2 linked regions of the Tamandua tetradactyla genome follow. The protein of the gene in region 1 purifies or fractionates together with the protein of each later gene. This does not show direct contact. Links are inferred from orthologs where the notes say so. Each region holds a gene or a part of one and is shown on either strand. Other genes may lie near its edges.

The links. The genes of interacting proteins can lie anywhere in the genome.
Region 2: the proteins of TULP3 (region 1) and IFT122 purify together in Homo sapiens (co-immunoprecipitation; 6 studies listed by BioGRID and IntAct, counting the BioPlex papers as one, with this or other methods). This does not show direct contact. The link is inferred for Tamandua tetradactyla from reciprocal best matches to the Homo sapiens genes TULP3 and IFT122.

The regions. Positions count from the first base shown.
Region 1 is NC_135333.1:65,027,474-65,034,843, forward strand, and holds the start of TULP3 (tubby-related protein 3), read left to right. Parts: upstream 1-4,330; 5' UTR 4,331-4,407; coding exon 4,408-4,448; intron 4,449-7,370. Other genes in the region: RHNO1 (RAD9, HUS1, RAD1-interacting nuclear orphan protein 1), read left to right, coding at 619-786, 1,855-2,406. UniProt on the Homo sapiens protein: Negative regulator of the Shh signaling transduction pathway: recruited to primary cilia via association with the IFT complex A (IFT-A) and is required for recruitment of G protein-coupled receptor GPR161 to cilia, a promoter of PKA-dependent basal repression machinery in Shh signaling.
Region 2 is NC_135335.1:35,907,960-35,915,640, reverse strand, and holds the start of IFT122 (intraflagellar transport protein 122 homolog), read left to right. Parts: upstream 1-4,676; 5' UTR 4,677-4,801; coding exon 4,802-4,842; intron 4,843-7,681. Other genes in the region: MBD4 (methyl-CpG-binding domain protein 4), read right to left, coding at 1,293-2,149, 2,532-2,758, 4,233-4,325. UniProt on the Homo sapiens protein: As a component of the IFT complex A (IFT-A), a complex required for retrograde ciliary transport and entry into cilia of G protein-coupled receptors (GPCRs), it is required in ciliogenesis and ciliary protein trafficking.

The sequences.
Region 1 (7,370 bases):
ATGTCTAGCCTCAATTCTTACCACTTGGCTTTTCATATGCTGAATCCACCCATACTGGTATACTGATGTTTCTCGGCCTTTGTATGTGCTCTTCTCCCTGGGAGTGCTCTCCCTGCTTCGTTGCTTCTCCTAGCCTTTCCATGCCCTGAAGAGAGGAGACACATTTTTCTCATATTGTTTGGTAGTTGTCTGTTTCCTCTCAGCAGCCTCTCAGCTCCTTGAAAACAGGGATCTCTATATTGCTCTACAAGTGTTTGGTAGTCAAATGCGTCTTGAATAAATGGCTCCCAACACCCTGTATGGTACTTAACATGTGTTCAATAAATGTTTATTAACATGTGCTTAATAAATTTTTATTGAATTAATGTTGTTGAATATGAATCATTGTATTTTTGCTTGCTGTTATAGGTGTAGGAAGCTTGGTCCCTATGACTTTGAGGTGGTAGTTTTTGTTGCAATAGGTTGCCTGGGTATCAGGAAGAGCTACAGAATTATCTGGATTATTTTCTCCCAGCTTTTGTTTCTTCTCTACAGGCATGGGTTGGAATTGGAGCCTGTCACCCCACCTGATTGCAACCAGCATCATGTGGTTGCCAACTGTTCTGCATTCATCTGTTGATGCCGCCCAGAAAAAAACGCCGCCAACGATCCCAGAAAGCTCCACTGCTATTCCAGCAACAACCACTGGAGGGCCCCAAACACCACTCTGGATCCCCACAGCTTCCCATCACCCATACTAAACGGGTGCCCAGCAAGCCTATTGATCACAGCACCATCACTTCCTGGGTAGGTTCATAGGATTCTTATTTTGACTTTTACTCCAGTAGGTGTCTCAGAATGCTAACCATTGAACAAGGACCTCCAAAGAATAAGATTTTTGGGGTGCAAAAGACAAAGAAGCATTGTATTCTTTCTGTTTTCAGCCATCTCTTCTTTTTTTCTCGTTTTAAACTGAGACATGGGTTGGTTAGAATTGTTGCCTTTCCCCCTACATTCCTCTAAAGGAGTTCAGTGTAAAGCTTTCACCACCCAATAGCCAGAAAAATGACAAGAATATTGTTCCCTGAGTTTCATATGAGAAGTGGAGTACTCAGGTATTCTCTTTACTGTTTAATGGATTGAACTTTGAAAAACAAAATGCACAGAAATTGGATATGTGATAATTTAACTATTTAAAAGCTCTGGAATAAGGGATTAGCTACTATATGGCATGGAAATAGTATAACAAAAGGGCTAGACAAAAGCATAAGCTCTGTTTAGTTAAGAGTGACTAATAAATAAAACTTGGCCAGGACTGCTTGGAAGAACTGTAATACTCACTTGAGGATTGTGGAAGAAACTTAAATTTTAGAGTTCTGTGGACGAAAATAAGAGTGAATATTTATTGACTACTTACTATGTGCCAGACCCTATGCTGATTGTTTTACATACATGATCTCAGTTCCTCATTCATGCATTCAGCCATTTATTATTTCCTGAGCGAGGCACTCTACTAGGTTCTGGGGACTGTGATGTGAACAAGACTGCTGTTGGTCCCTCCTCTCATGAAATATAAAGATACTTTAAAAGTTGCAGCCATATTGTGTGAAGTCAAAGAGACATTGTTCCTTTCTTAAGTATAAGGAAATAGCCAGAGATTGATTTTTTTTTTTTTTTTTTTTTACCATAGCTCATATCCCTTTCTGTTACTATGCCACTAGACAACTGTTATTTTTCTATTTCTATTACCAAAGTCGGCCCCCGTATAGGATTCTGGTCACTGGATGTCAGTTCCTGGTTATGGTTTGTACTTTCAAGTTTGTACTTGGCAGTTGGTTCTCTTCACTTCTTTCTCTTTTTTTTTTTAATCCTTAGATATTGCCTGAGTTTGACATGACAGCAGAAAGTTGGTATCCAGTCAACCAGAAATGTCATCACCAAGACCAGGCAAGACATTCAAGTCGCAAATCTGCCGCCTCCAAGTTTCCACAACTAATCTTTGAGAGTCCACAGTCTTCTTCCAGTTCAGTGACACTGGAGATCCCCTTAAGCAAGAAGGGCCCTAGTCAACTGGCAAAGGACATTTCTGGAAGGCCCTTAGTTCCAATGCTCAGCCCCCAAAGTAGTAGGGAACTGTCAGTGCATGCACTTCAAAGTCCAGGTTATGTGTTCATTCCACCTGATATCCAGACCCCAGAGTCATCTGTGAAAAAACCCATTCACCCAGATCAGAGGAAGAACAGCCTTCCAAGCTGCTCCCTTCACTCTAGTACTCCCAAGAATGAAGGGCCTGGACCTGCTCTAGTTAAAGACACTCCTGAAGAGAAGTATGGCATAAAGGTCACTTGGAGGAGACGGAAACACCTATTTGCTTACCTCAGGGACAGAGGGAAGCTGAGCAGAAGCCAGTTCCTTGTGAAAAACTGACTTATCAGATAACAGCCTCTTTATTAAGAAACACAAGAAATTGCTGATTTTCATAGAGTTGCTAAAGTAACTTTTCTGACTCACAGGAAGAGTACATCAATAGAATAAAATGGAAATAACACCAAATTAAAAAACAACTTTAACTGGAGCCCTGTAACCAAAAGGAAATTAAACTCCCTGATTAGCTTTTTAAAATACCTTGTTTCATAAACAGTTGGATTTAGTGCCATAAACAGTTTACTTCATATTTTTCTTATATTAACTGTTTAATTAATTTTAAAATGGCTTTTAACTTTAAAATGTATGTAAATAAATGGTTGCAGAAAGTTTTCAGAGAACTGTGCTGCTCATTGTCAGTAATGCAGCAATAGTGCCCCACTCACAAAAGGTCTTTCTTATTTCCTTTAGCCACTGCTCATTAATCCGTTATCTCTTTTAGACCAATTCATTCCACATTTTGAGAACCAACTCTGTGCCACGCTCAGTGGCAACTTCCTTTATGACTGGATGGGCAGAAAAAAATCAAAGGAAACGCATGACTTTTTTATAGTTGAGCTGCCGTCTCAGCACCCTGGCTCATCTGCTGAAAGAGCAAGAATAGGACAAGTTCTATTTTCATAAATACAGTGGGACCAGGGTAGATACAGACATAGACAAGTTACTTAGGCTTGCTTAGGTTTTGACATTTTTTTTCCCCCACCAAAGAAATCTGTAAACATTAGGTAGGATGGGAAAATGATTTCTTGTAGCTGTTTAAAATGTATGAAAATAAAGTGCAAAGTTTTCAGACATGATTACTTCTTGTTGTAACTAATGCAGAAGGGCTGCCCAGTCAAGAAAATGTCTCAATTGTCCTTTTACCCATACAAATAATGTCATTCAACCCTATTCACTCAGTATTTATTAAGAATCTCGTCTGTGTCAGATCCAGCCCAGCTTATTATTCTGCTTATTTTATAGAGGGGGATTTGAAGCACAGATCATGAACCATGTTCAGGTTCACTGGATGAGTGGAGACTGACCCAAAGTGTTCAATGCTCTGCTCTCCTAGCTTATGTCAAGTTCTATGTCTCTTAAAAAAATCAACTTCTGGATTCAAAATTAATGTGGAAATAACTTTGACTTTGGAATGCAATAAACTAGTCAGTGTGCAACAATAGTGGTGGTAAGAAAGGAATTGATGGTTGAGGACAAGATTTATTGGAAACAATGCTATCGTTTTAGATAGTGGATCCCATTATGGGACATGGATGTTTGAAGATGGTCTATAGATTGGAGAGAAAGGTGGATGGAAAAGTTTCTGGATTCTCTTGTGCTTTAGGAGAGTGTATAGCAGGTCTAGGAATGAGCTAAAAGCTTAGGCTGGAGTGGGAGAAGCTGAAGTTTTGGGCAGATGTGAGAAGCAGGTGAAAAGTGTGAGGCCAGGAAACTAAAGGAAAGATGGATTTAATTGGCGGATATCAGCTGAGGAGGGTACTTGCGTGTTTGAGAAGAAGGCCTTCGTTTTCGTGGAAGGAAAAAGATTGTGAGAGGGTCAGCTGGTCTGTAAGTCCTTACATTACAGATCTCTGGCAGCGCCATGGGTGGTCTTTGGGAGTACCGGGAAGCCACTCTGGGTGGTGGCTAGTGGGGGTTGGGCGGCTCCTCAAAGGGACTCGCATCTCCGTCGCGGGAAACCAACGGCGCAGTGGCAAAAACATCCTTCAGCACGCAGCCCTTCCCGGCGCAGCGCTCCAGGGGACCAGGCCCTTGCGCGTCATCCCCGCTCCGGCGCAGGCGCCTTTAACTCTCTAGTTCTTCCCTCCTCTTAGAAACCCTCTCGCATCCCGGTGGCGGCAATAGCCAATGAGAGAGGAACGGTAGGCACATGGACCAATGGGCGGTGGTGACAGTGCAGGGTGTGGTTGCCAGGGGGCGGGGCCCGGCTGCCTGCCAGTCTTGCCAGCCTAGCAGCGGCGTCTACGAGTCTGGATGTGATTGCCACTTACTTAGCAGCGGGTGATGGAGGCGTCGCGCTATGGACGTGGACCCAGTGGGGATAGGTAAGAGATGGATTGTGGCTAGTCCCTTCGCGAGCGAGGCGGGGAGACGAAGTGAGAAAGTGGATGTCCTGTCCGGGATGTCTGAGGGGAGAAGGCGGTGGGCTCCTCTCTGGGAAGCGATCTCTCTCCCTACTCCCTGGGACAGGACCCCTTTTAAAGTGAGCAGAAGAGCGCGGCGACTCGGCAGCTTTGCCCATCAGCAGAGGCTCCTCCCCGCCTTGGGAAACTCTTGGAGTTTTCGTTCCGAGCTCTCATTGCTCTGGAGGGCCTCAGTTTCCCCTTATTTAAAATGTATTAGCCCTGCTCTTCACGCACTGCCTGGTAGTTTAATAACTGAGATTGGATACATCCTCTGCTTTCCGAGGATGTCGAAGCAGAAGGTTGTGAGTAATACTGGATACTTTGCACTAATGCTGAAGCTTTTGCTAGGCAGTGCTGAATTCTGGAACAGTTGTTCCAGGGCTGAAAATACAAAACTCGTTTTCTTCTGTCTGCTTTCTAGCAGTTATCTCTTACTCGGGATTTTCTGTCTTTTTATAAACGTACCATACCCGTTGTTTGTGCCCCTCTTTCTTTCTCTTTCGTAACTTCGGCCTCCGCCAGAGGGAGAGCCTGGAAAATAAAACGATCTGAAATCTCAGCCTGCCAATTTCTTGTTAGCCAGATTAATGAAAAGTTAATGGGGATCGGTGTGAAATCATTAGCTTAAAACTTGACATTGTCTGAGGATTTAAATCATACACACACCATCTGCTTTTTAAAAAATTATTATTCCATTACTACTGCGAATAAAGATTTGGCACGTAAAGATTCAGGCTGCTTTATTATTTTTTTCGTTTTTATTTGTTTATTTATTTAGTCTGTTTTTTACTAGAATAAATTTAAACAATTCTAAACCATTTTTAAAAATTGTCACTAGAGAGGTGTTGGGGTAGAGAACACTCCTTCCTCCTTCATCAGGTTCTATTTATGTGATAGTGGCACTCTCAAAATGTGTTTACAACACTTTTTTTTTCCAAGTGGAGAGAAAAATAATCCACACTTACAAGTATAAATATGGGAATGCTAGGATGAGGTAAAGGTAATATTCAGCTTCTGTGGTTGAGTTCAGATGGTACTTGTTTAATTGTGGACACTCAATAAATCTTAGTTGAGTTTTAAAGCTATAAATTTCATAGTTATCAGATGTTTGATATGACTCACAATTTTTGGGAAAAAAGTAATTAACTTTGAAATTGGCATCTGGAGGCAAATGGCTATAATTTATTGGAACTGAAGTTTGAGATTTAAATGAAGATAAACATTTCTTTTCTTTTTTTTCTTCCCCAAAACACAAGCTCTTTAATTTTAAAAATTGAAATAAAAAAAGAAAAATAAATTAAAGAAAATTGACATCAAAGGGGAGTGTGTGAGTCACCAAATATTTCTCTTGCGGTAGGTAATGTTAGTGCAGCTTTTCAGTTTAACTTCTTTGTTGCTAAGAGGGAGTGAAGTTTATCTCTTGCTGTGTTAGTTTCAAGTTGTGTCTTTAAAGTTTTTGATGAAATACATTGATAGAGTCTTTGATATTAATGTACCTGAGAAGTTAGGATTTAGGGGATAAGTATTTGATTACTGAATCGTTATATAGACATTGCTTTTTTTCTTTCTGGTTTATTTGAGTAGACAGAGGGAGATACCTGAAATCTCTGAACTGTAATCCATCTGCCTTGATCTCTGATAATGAGCCTATATATAGCCTTTATCTTATGCCCTTGTGATTGTAAAAACTTTGTGGCTGACCCTCACTTGTACTCATTTTATCCGGTTTTTTGACTCTAAAATCTTGTGATCACTAACCCTCACGTTTATTATTGAAGGGTCTTGGGTCAGCCCAGAATGCATGCACCCCAAATCTAAAGTTATCTTGATAACCGAAGCTGGCTCTGACCTAAATGGGCCTGCCTGAATGCATAGTAGCTTGTATTTTAACTTGTAAATCACCTGTACCTCATTGTAATATTAAAATTCATGCCCATCATTATATTAAGGCCACAATTTTCTTACATATGTTCTTTCACTAAACGTGTAATGAGTCTGCACATTGTCCTGAAACCTGCCTATCTTTTCATACTATAAAACTGTCAGAATTACTGCAGTTCAGGGAGACAGATTTGGGGTGGATAGGTCATCTGATCTCCTGCGTCGTACCTAGCAACATTTTTTTTCTCTCTTTGAAACCCGTGTCTTAGGAATTGTCTATTGAACGCATACGGCAGAGAGTGTACCACCTTTGTTTAGTAACATTAATACCTTTCGATGTGAAGATGATATCTGCCTTTCAAATTTCCTGTGATTTTTTTCTTCTTTGACTTATGTGACTGTTTTAACATAAGACAGATTTATTTTCAACAAAGTAGAAATATTAACAGTAAACTTTAAATGTTTTTCTTGTATCTCAAATGTTTAGTGAAAATTGGAGATAGAATTTGAAGTAGCACTCTGAGGACCTTTGTTGAAGCTGGGCATTTGTATTATAGAATTTCTGGAGAGGATAGGGATTGGCTAGGGAGAGAACTTTTTTTTTTCAGGGAGTATTATTTTATTAAATCATGCACATTATGTGTGTTAGGGAAGTTGGTTTAATCTGTATTAGAGATTAAACTAACTTGAGCTCTATCTGGCCTTTGTGATAAATAATTTGTGATACAGAATTGAAGGTATGGTGAGAGACTTCCCAGTGTGATCTTGTGATCCAGACTTGGGTCGGAAAATCCTGCTCTGTGGTTTAAACAATACATCAGGATTTCTCTTTACAAATATGAAAAGCAGTAGTGGCCTGAAGTTATGTCCTGGTTAGTCTTATTATCTGCTCCCATGCCTTTTTTTTTTTTTTTTTTTTAGTGTCTCACCAGATCACTGAGTAGTTACAAACAGATTACC
Region 2 (7,681 bases), on another chromosome or scaffold:
TGAACCCGGGTCTCCCGCATGAAAGGCGGGCATTCTAACCACTGAACTACCTATGCACCCCTCACAAGCTTCCTTTATTCCTTAGGAGACAAGCTTAGTCTATTTGGCAATTTCCAGGTAAGCCAATGCGAAAGTCTTCACTATTCCTTTTAGATACCTACTAACCTAGATCATCTTTTGCTGAAAACTAGACTTCCTTATGTGTAGGATGGATAGGACACTTCCATTTTAGTTGCAAAAGGATGTTTTTAATATTTAATTTGCCTGTTAAACTAGCAATAAATCTAGTAGCCTCAAAGCTTTAAGAAGCTCAAAGTCTTTAAAACACTCATATGTAATCCCTAGGTATATATGGTCATCTTTGGTTAAAGGTAGAGAAATTCCAGACACAGAGTTGACATAAAATCATTGGTGGGTGTTATGTCAATTTCTTTTTTTTTTTTTTCCGTTAATTAAAAAAAAAAAAAATCATTGCTGGGATTGAGAGCAGGAATCAAGTCTAACCCCCTGCTCCACCAATCTGTCCAGGTTGTCTCCCCATGGGAGTTTAAGTAAAACCACTATTCTTCTTTAAAGGAGTTATTCATTATACCATAAAAACATAATGAATAACTAATACAGAGCTGTTCAAAAGATCTCCTTTTTATGTCGTATTCACTCAGGTAACATAAAAGCAAAACTGCTAAGCTCTGAATCTGCATTAAGAGCATATTACAAATAATAGATGAACTATGTGATTATAGTTTTGAATTATTTAGAGCTCTAAAGCATTTTAGAGAAGCATTACATTATAATAGAAGATAACAATGACTATGAAACATACAAAATTAAATTTGAAGTCACACAAGAGTAGTAAGAGGGGCACAAAAGAAGACACTGACTATTCTCAATCAGTTTATGTATAAAGGTGTCCTCCCCAAACCTTTTCACAAGTGAAACCTTTTAATTTTCCTTAAGTCTCAAGATTACCAGCTGGAAAGAGGTTGGGGAGAAAATAAAGCACTATTGAGCAGAGTCCCAGCTGTTGCACCAGGGAGAGACAGTGGCAGCTGTTACCCTCACAATTCTCCTTTGACCAAAGTAGTAACCAGCTGATTCCGTCTCTTCCACAGGAAAGGGCTTTAAGGTAGTTAGACAAGGTATTAGGATCAACTGGTAGAATGTGTCTGACATTTGGCCCTATTTCCTGGCTCTATTCCCACATCCTAACCATGTAGAAGCATGAAATACAGATAGGAAAGAATAAATTCCTCATCGTATAACGTTTAATAGCACTTTAAAGCACTGAATACCTTGAAATATTTTCACAGAAGTAAAGTCTTTCTCAGTCTGTGAGCAGTTGTTGTCCATTTCAGAGTCACATTTCAAAATGTCAGTATGCAAATGTTCCTTCCTTTCCCCAACTTTTACTTTTGTTTTGATTTCCTCAGATTCTAAAAATGCATCCCGACACTTCTGGTGTTCTGCTTCTTTGGTTGAACATAATTTGTTTATGATGCCAGAAGTCAGTTGTTCAAGATGAAAGTTTGATCCTGAACTCAATGATTCTTCTTTTACAAGTCCCTTTTCTTCACTGGTTGCACTGAGGGTCTCGTCGATTGCTCTGGCATCAGCAGTGCAGAGAGTTCTAATAAGCTGAGATTCTTGTGTGACAGACTCACCTTCAGCATCTGTTTTATTACACACAGATTCTCTTTTTCTACTACTTTGCATGGAATCTGAAAGACTTTTCTGGCATCTTCTTTTAGTTTTCCTAATTTGAATTCTTTTCAAAAGAGTCACTTTTCCTTTGGACTTTCTAACCTTTCTGGAGTTAGTATCATTAACACCCTTATCTTCTTTCAAAAGCAAATGATTGGAAGTAGAATTAGAGAGTCCTCTGCTCTCTTGCAATTCCAAGCTACCACTTGGCAGAGGAAACGCATCTTTTTTCCACCTGCCTCGTGTCCTGAGATTCCAGTTTGAAATGTTAGTTTCATTTTGTTGTTGGGATGCCTGAGATGTCATGCTGCAGTCTTTATATCTTGATCTGATGTCTTTTTTAGAAGGTACAGTAAAATCAAAATCTTCTGGCTTAAGAGAAGTCTCTTGATTTTTGTGAAGGTAATTAGCAAGGGAACTTTTGGTTCTGAACTTCAGTCCTTGAGGGCTAGAATGTGATATTAAAGAAACTTATTGCTAGCAAATACAAGTGAGTTTAAAAAAAGAATTGGACCACATTTTAGATTTCTCATGCATAATTTCTAAATGGAGCCATGAACAATTGTCATTTAAAATAAAAACCAGTGATGAAATGGTACTTTTAATGTTTCTTCTATGATAACCCAAAATAATTTTATGTATATAACTTAAATGCAAACTCACCATTAACCATTTATAGAAGGGACAAATTGTAATTGTCTCCAAATTATCTGAGGTAACTAATCAGTGACACTGAAGAAAGAGAACTCACTTAAGTTTTATTGCAAAAATAGATACAAGTTAGGATTCCTGTTATGCTTTTCCACTACCTGTCTAGACAAAATGCTCACCTGATAAAATATACATCAAATCTTCCAGCTGTTTTCCCAGATAACCTTTGCTTTACAATTTTTTCCCATCCACAAGGGACAGACTTATGGCCTTCTGTCATTGTAGTAATACCAAACTGAGCAGGAGTAATGGATTCTTGTAGCAGGGGATTACTCTTGCTACTTGTTTTTATCACCATTTGTTTCTCATCTTCTCCCACTCTTCCCAATCTCAGAGAACCTTCTTCCTCACTGAAAAACAAAGTACAAGTGATTAGCTCATCTGAAATTTATTTCCCTCGACTTATACAATTTTAATCCATGACATGGTGAAAACCATATGGACTATTAAGATAAAATAGGAAATTAAAGTCAGTATAGACTGCAACAAAGGGCTAACAAAGGGTTGGAAATACTCGTGCAATGAAAAGCTCAAGCTACCTATTAGGAACTTTTTTTGTCAATCATTAAGTAGAACTATTATAAAGATTTCTGGTGACACTTGGCATAATTATGAGAATATGAACCAACAGCTGAGCTCTAAACCTGGGATCAAGAGAACTGCTTAAAGGAGTCAATGAGACAACTCTTCTCTCCCTAAACAGGTGAGGAAAAAAATTTATATATACATGCATTTTTCCGGGAGGCAGTGCCCATGACTTTCATCAGATGTCCTAAGACTCCCAAAGATAAATAATTTGATTCAATTCTCCCCCATTCTTATTTCTCATGATAACTTTGTGAGGTAGGTAGGATAAGGATTATTTTCATTTCATTGATAAAATTGAGTGACAGGAAGGTAAAGTTACTTGCAGAATTGATTCCAGAACCCAGATCTACCAAATCTTGGTCCAATAACTTTCTTGGTCCAATAACCTTCCCACTCAAACTACTGAAAAGTTTCAGTAGGGTATATCCTAATCATTACATCACACATGTTGAAACTTGGATGGGTCTATAGAAATCATGGAAATCAACTTCTTTTCTAAAAATAGGGAAACTAAGCAAGAGCGAGTAACTAACTAGACTTAGAATCAAGTTATTCAGACTGAATTTCGAGTGAAATAATTCGGAGGGTCTGAATGGGATCTTATGAAACTACATAGTGCATAATTTTAGAGATAAAGGAACTGAAACCTGGTGAAAACAGCACAAACTTTGAAGTGAACAGGTTGGTTTCAAATCCAGCTGTCAGTTACCAGGTGCATATCCAAGAGCAAGTTACTTAACCTTCCAAAGCCAAGTTTCCTTATCTGTGAAAAGGAGGTGATACCTCTTTTAAGGTTAATTCTGAGGACTAACTATTGAGACGAGTAGGTAAATCATCTTAGCCTTAGATCGCACATATGCAAGCACTCCATAAAAACTGTAGTTCTCTTCCCATGTCTGGGTGTCCCTGGTTGTTCACGACCACATAAAATCTAGGTCCAACTCCAAAATCTTTTTAGGATCCTCCAATCCAAGCAGCTATCTCTCCTTACACCACAAAACCGCCTCCCAGCTCCCCTGTCATTTGGGGCAAGGAAGTCGGGCCCACCCCAAGGCTAATCCCCACAGGAGGAGTGGTACCTGTGACCCAGTCTTATCTCCGAACAATCAGACCCAGGGCACAGAGGTCTCTGTCGAACCTAGAATGTCAAGGTTAGAAAGGACCACACATCTTCTCCTCGCCCACTCTCGCTTTACAGGGGGTGAAACTGAGGCCCGAAAAGAGACAGTAACTTGCCGAGGGTCACACGGCTGTTCTGGGACTAGGCGTTCACTAGAGGTGTCCAAGCGGGAAGCTCCACCGTCCCCCAGGTCCCGACTCTCCATTTCAGCCGTGCTCCTCAAGCGGGCTCCGGCTGCAGCGACCCGAGCCCCTGCGCAGCTGTAACGTCTGGAGGGCCGGAGTAACACGTGAAAGCTTCTTAAGTTCAGAACACTGGGCTGAAACCTCGATATGAATATATGGAAAGTCTGTCAGACTCTACAGCTCCTTACCCGCCAACTCCTCAGCAAAAGCTGCCATTTTTCGTGGTTCAGCCAATCAAATTCTTTATCGAGAAGATGCACCGCCCCCGGTCTGTCGCTCGCGCCTTCATCGCGCATGCGCTTTCTAGGCTCCTGGTCCCGCTTCACTTTTGCTTTTTCTGGCTCTCCCTTTTGGTCATGCGCATTCGGAAGTCTTTGCCTGCTCCTGGCTCACTGCGCAAGTGCGTTGCCAGGGGCAGCGCAGGTAGCCAAAGTAGCTTGCTGAGAGGGCCTGTTGCTGTGGCGGGGCGGAGGGATCTGAGGCTTGAGAAACCGCGATGAGAGCCGTGTTGACGTGGAGAGATAAAGCCGAGCAGTGGTGAGACTTGGGACAGCCTGGGAGGATGGGGTAGCCGAGCCCCAACGGGGATGGCGGGAACCATTACGTGAATCACTGCAGTTGCTAAAGGCAACAGGCTGGAGGCCTGGGCCGAGGGGCACTGAACCCCGAGTCTGGGAGACTGCAAGGTCAACCCCTTACTTTGTGAATGGAGAAACTGAGTCTTGGGGAAGGGGCCAAGGGATACATCACGCGTCGGGTCGTGGCCTGTTCTGGTCTTGTCGCCTCCTTACTCAAAATTCGTTTTGACTGTATCTTATAGCCACAACAGCGTTTCCCAAACTTCAGTTTTTGCCATATCCATATATTACCCATACTCTTGTTTACTTGACGTTTTTCTTTATCACTTATTTTTGCTTAATTATGTTTTTAAAAGGAAAGTGTATTACTTCTTTTAACGATAACTATAAAGCTAAAAGGGAGAAACAAAACAATATTAATAAGTTGTAGCTAGGTAGTTGCTAGGGGGCCTTTAAACTTGAGGTTTACTGCCTCTAAACTTGGAGAGGAGCAACTCTTGTCAGAGAGGTGCTTAAAATGAATGGCATCAAAACAAGACTCTCACCTATGCTTAATTAGAAGATTTGGAAGAGAATTGTAAGAATGACTTTCTCACCTTATCAGTCTATGTTATTTAATGTCTTAGTCCGTTTATCACCTAAATCCATCACACAGTGGTACATTTTGGGAAATACTGACTTAGTGGGTAGTGCTCAGCCTGACTTTCAGTTTTCCTAGATGATCTTTTCGGCTTTCTCATGAAGCCTCTTTTTTGTTTGTTTGTTTGTTTTTAAATATTTTTATTGACAAATCTTCACACACATACATTTCCTACATGGTGAATTCTCGGTGGCTCACAACATCATCACATAGTTGTGTATTCAGTACCATGATCATTTTCTAGAACATTTGCATCACTCCAGAAAAAGAAATGAGGAAAAAACCCTCATATATACCAATACCCCTTACCACTCCCTCTCATCGACCACTAGTATTTCCATCTACCCAATTTATTTTACCCTTTGTCCCCCCTATTATTTATTTATTCTGTATCGATATATTTTTGCTCATCCATCCATACCCTGGATAAAAGAAGTAACAGACACAAGCTTTTCACAATTCCACAGTCACATTGTAAGAGTTATATCTTTATATAATCGTCTTCAAGAATCAAGGCTACTGGAACGCAGCTCGACAGTTTCAGGTAATTCCCTCCAGCCACTCCAATACACCTAAACTAAAAAGGGGTATCTATATAATGTGTAAGAATAATCTCCAGGATAACCTCTTGACTGTATTTGAAATCTCTCAGCCAGTGAAACTTCATTTTGTCTCATTTCTCTCTTCCCCCTTTTGATCAAGAAGGCTTTCTCAATCCCTTAATGCTGGGTCCCGGCTCATCCCAGGACTTCTGTCCCACATTGCCAGGGAGATTTCCACCCCTGGGAGTCATGTCCCATGTTGCGGGGCAGGGCAGTGTGTTCACTGCCCTGAGTTAGCTTGGAGAGAGAGGCCACATCTGAGCAACAAAAGAGGTTCTCTGGAGGTGACTCCTAGGCCTAATTTTAAGTAGGCTTAGCCTGTCCTTTGCAGGAATAAATTTCATAGAGGCGGACCCCAAGATCGAGGGCTCAACATATTGATTTGGTTGTCCCCACTGCTTGTGAGAATATCAGAAATTCTCCAAATGGGGAAGTTGAATATTTCCTCCTTTCTCCCAGGTCCCCCAAGGGGACCTTGCAAGTACTTCTTTATTCACTGCTCAAATTTCTCTGTGATCTGTCAGGGCATCATACTAACCTGTACAAACCAACAAGATCTCACACCCTATTCAAGATTCCATGTACTTATGCTGTTCAACTAAACTTGACCATACAAGTTAAATTAGGAAATGCACTACCCAAAATATCTGTTTTGCACCAAATAAACATCTCTTCCTTTGGTCTCACACAGAAATTGAAGTTTTTGTGGTTTTTTTTGTGTATGTTGTATGGCAGGGTTCACGTTTCATTCTTTTTTTCATGTGGGTATCCCCTTATTGCAGCACCATTTTTTGATTTTTTGTTTTGTTTTGTTTTTCATTTGTTTGCTTGTTTGTTTGTTTGGGAACTGTATAGGTCAGGAATTGAACCTAGGTCTCCTGCATAGCAGACGAGAATTCTGCCACTGAACTGCCTTGCACTCCCAGAAGTTGAAGTTTTAAAATATGGACCTTATCATCATTTACCCTGTATTCTAATTTACCTTGGTCTTATCCAGATCAGCTTCATTCATAACTCTACTTGAAGTCTTATCACTTTTTCAACTTTTTAAACAGATGAAGCCTGTTTTGACCAGTGAGACAGGCTGCTTGCCATTCCCTCCCTGACTTCTTGTAGGCCTATCTGTATCTGAAACATGCCCTCTTTTGTCATCTTATGTGGAAATTCTGCACACCTTTTAAGGCTCTCTTTGGAGATGGTTGCTCTTTTTTGTCCTCTGCACTCATAATAGGCAACTCTTACTATATGCCAGGCACTGGGCTATAAACTTCAGATCCTTGATCTTATTGCTACCTCACAAAAGTCCTCTGAGGTAGATACTATGATTACTTCTCTTTTAAGTATATAAAGAAACTGAAGCACAGGGAGGATAAGTAATTTGCCAGGGTCACATAGTGAGTAAATTGTGGATTCACCTCTCAAGCTCATTTCTGCCTCACTCTAAGGCCAATGCTTTTTACCACTATATTAATTTTACTCTATTACAGAAGTTGCACACTCAAATGCCTGCAGGAATCAAACAGGTAGTGTAAATGGGAGATTTTTATTTGCATATT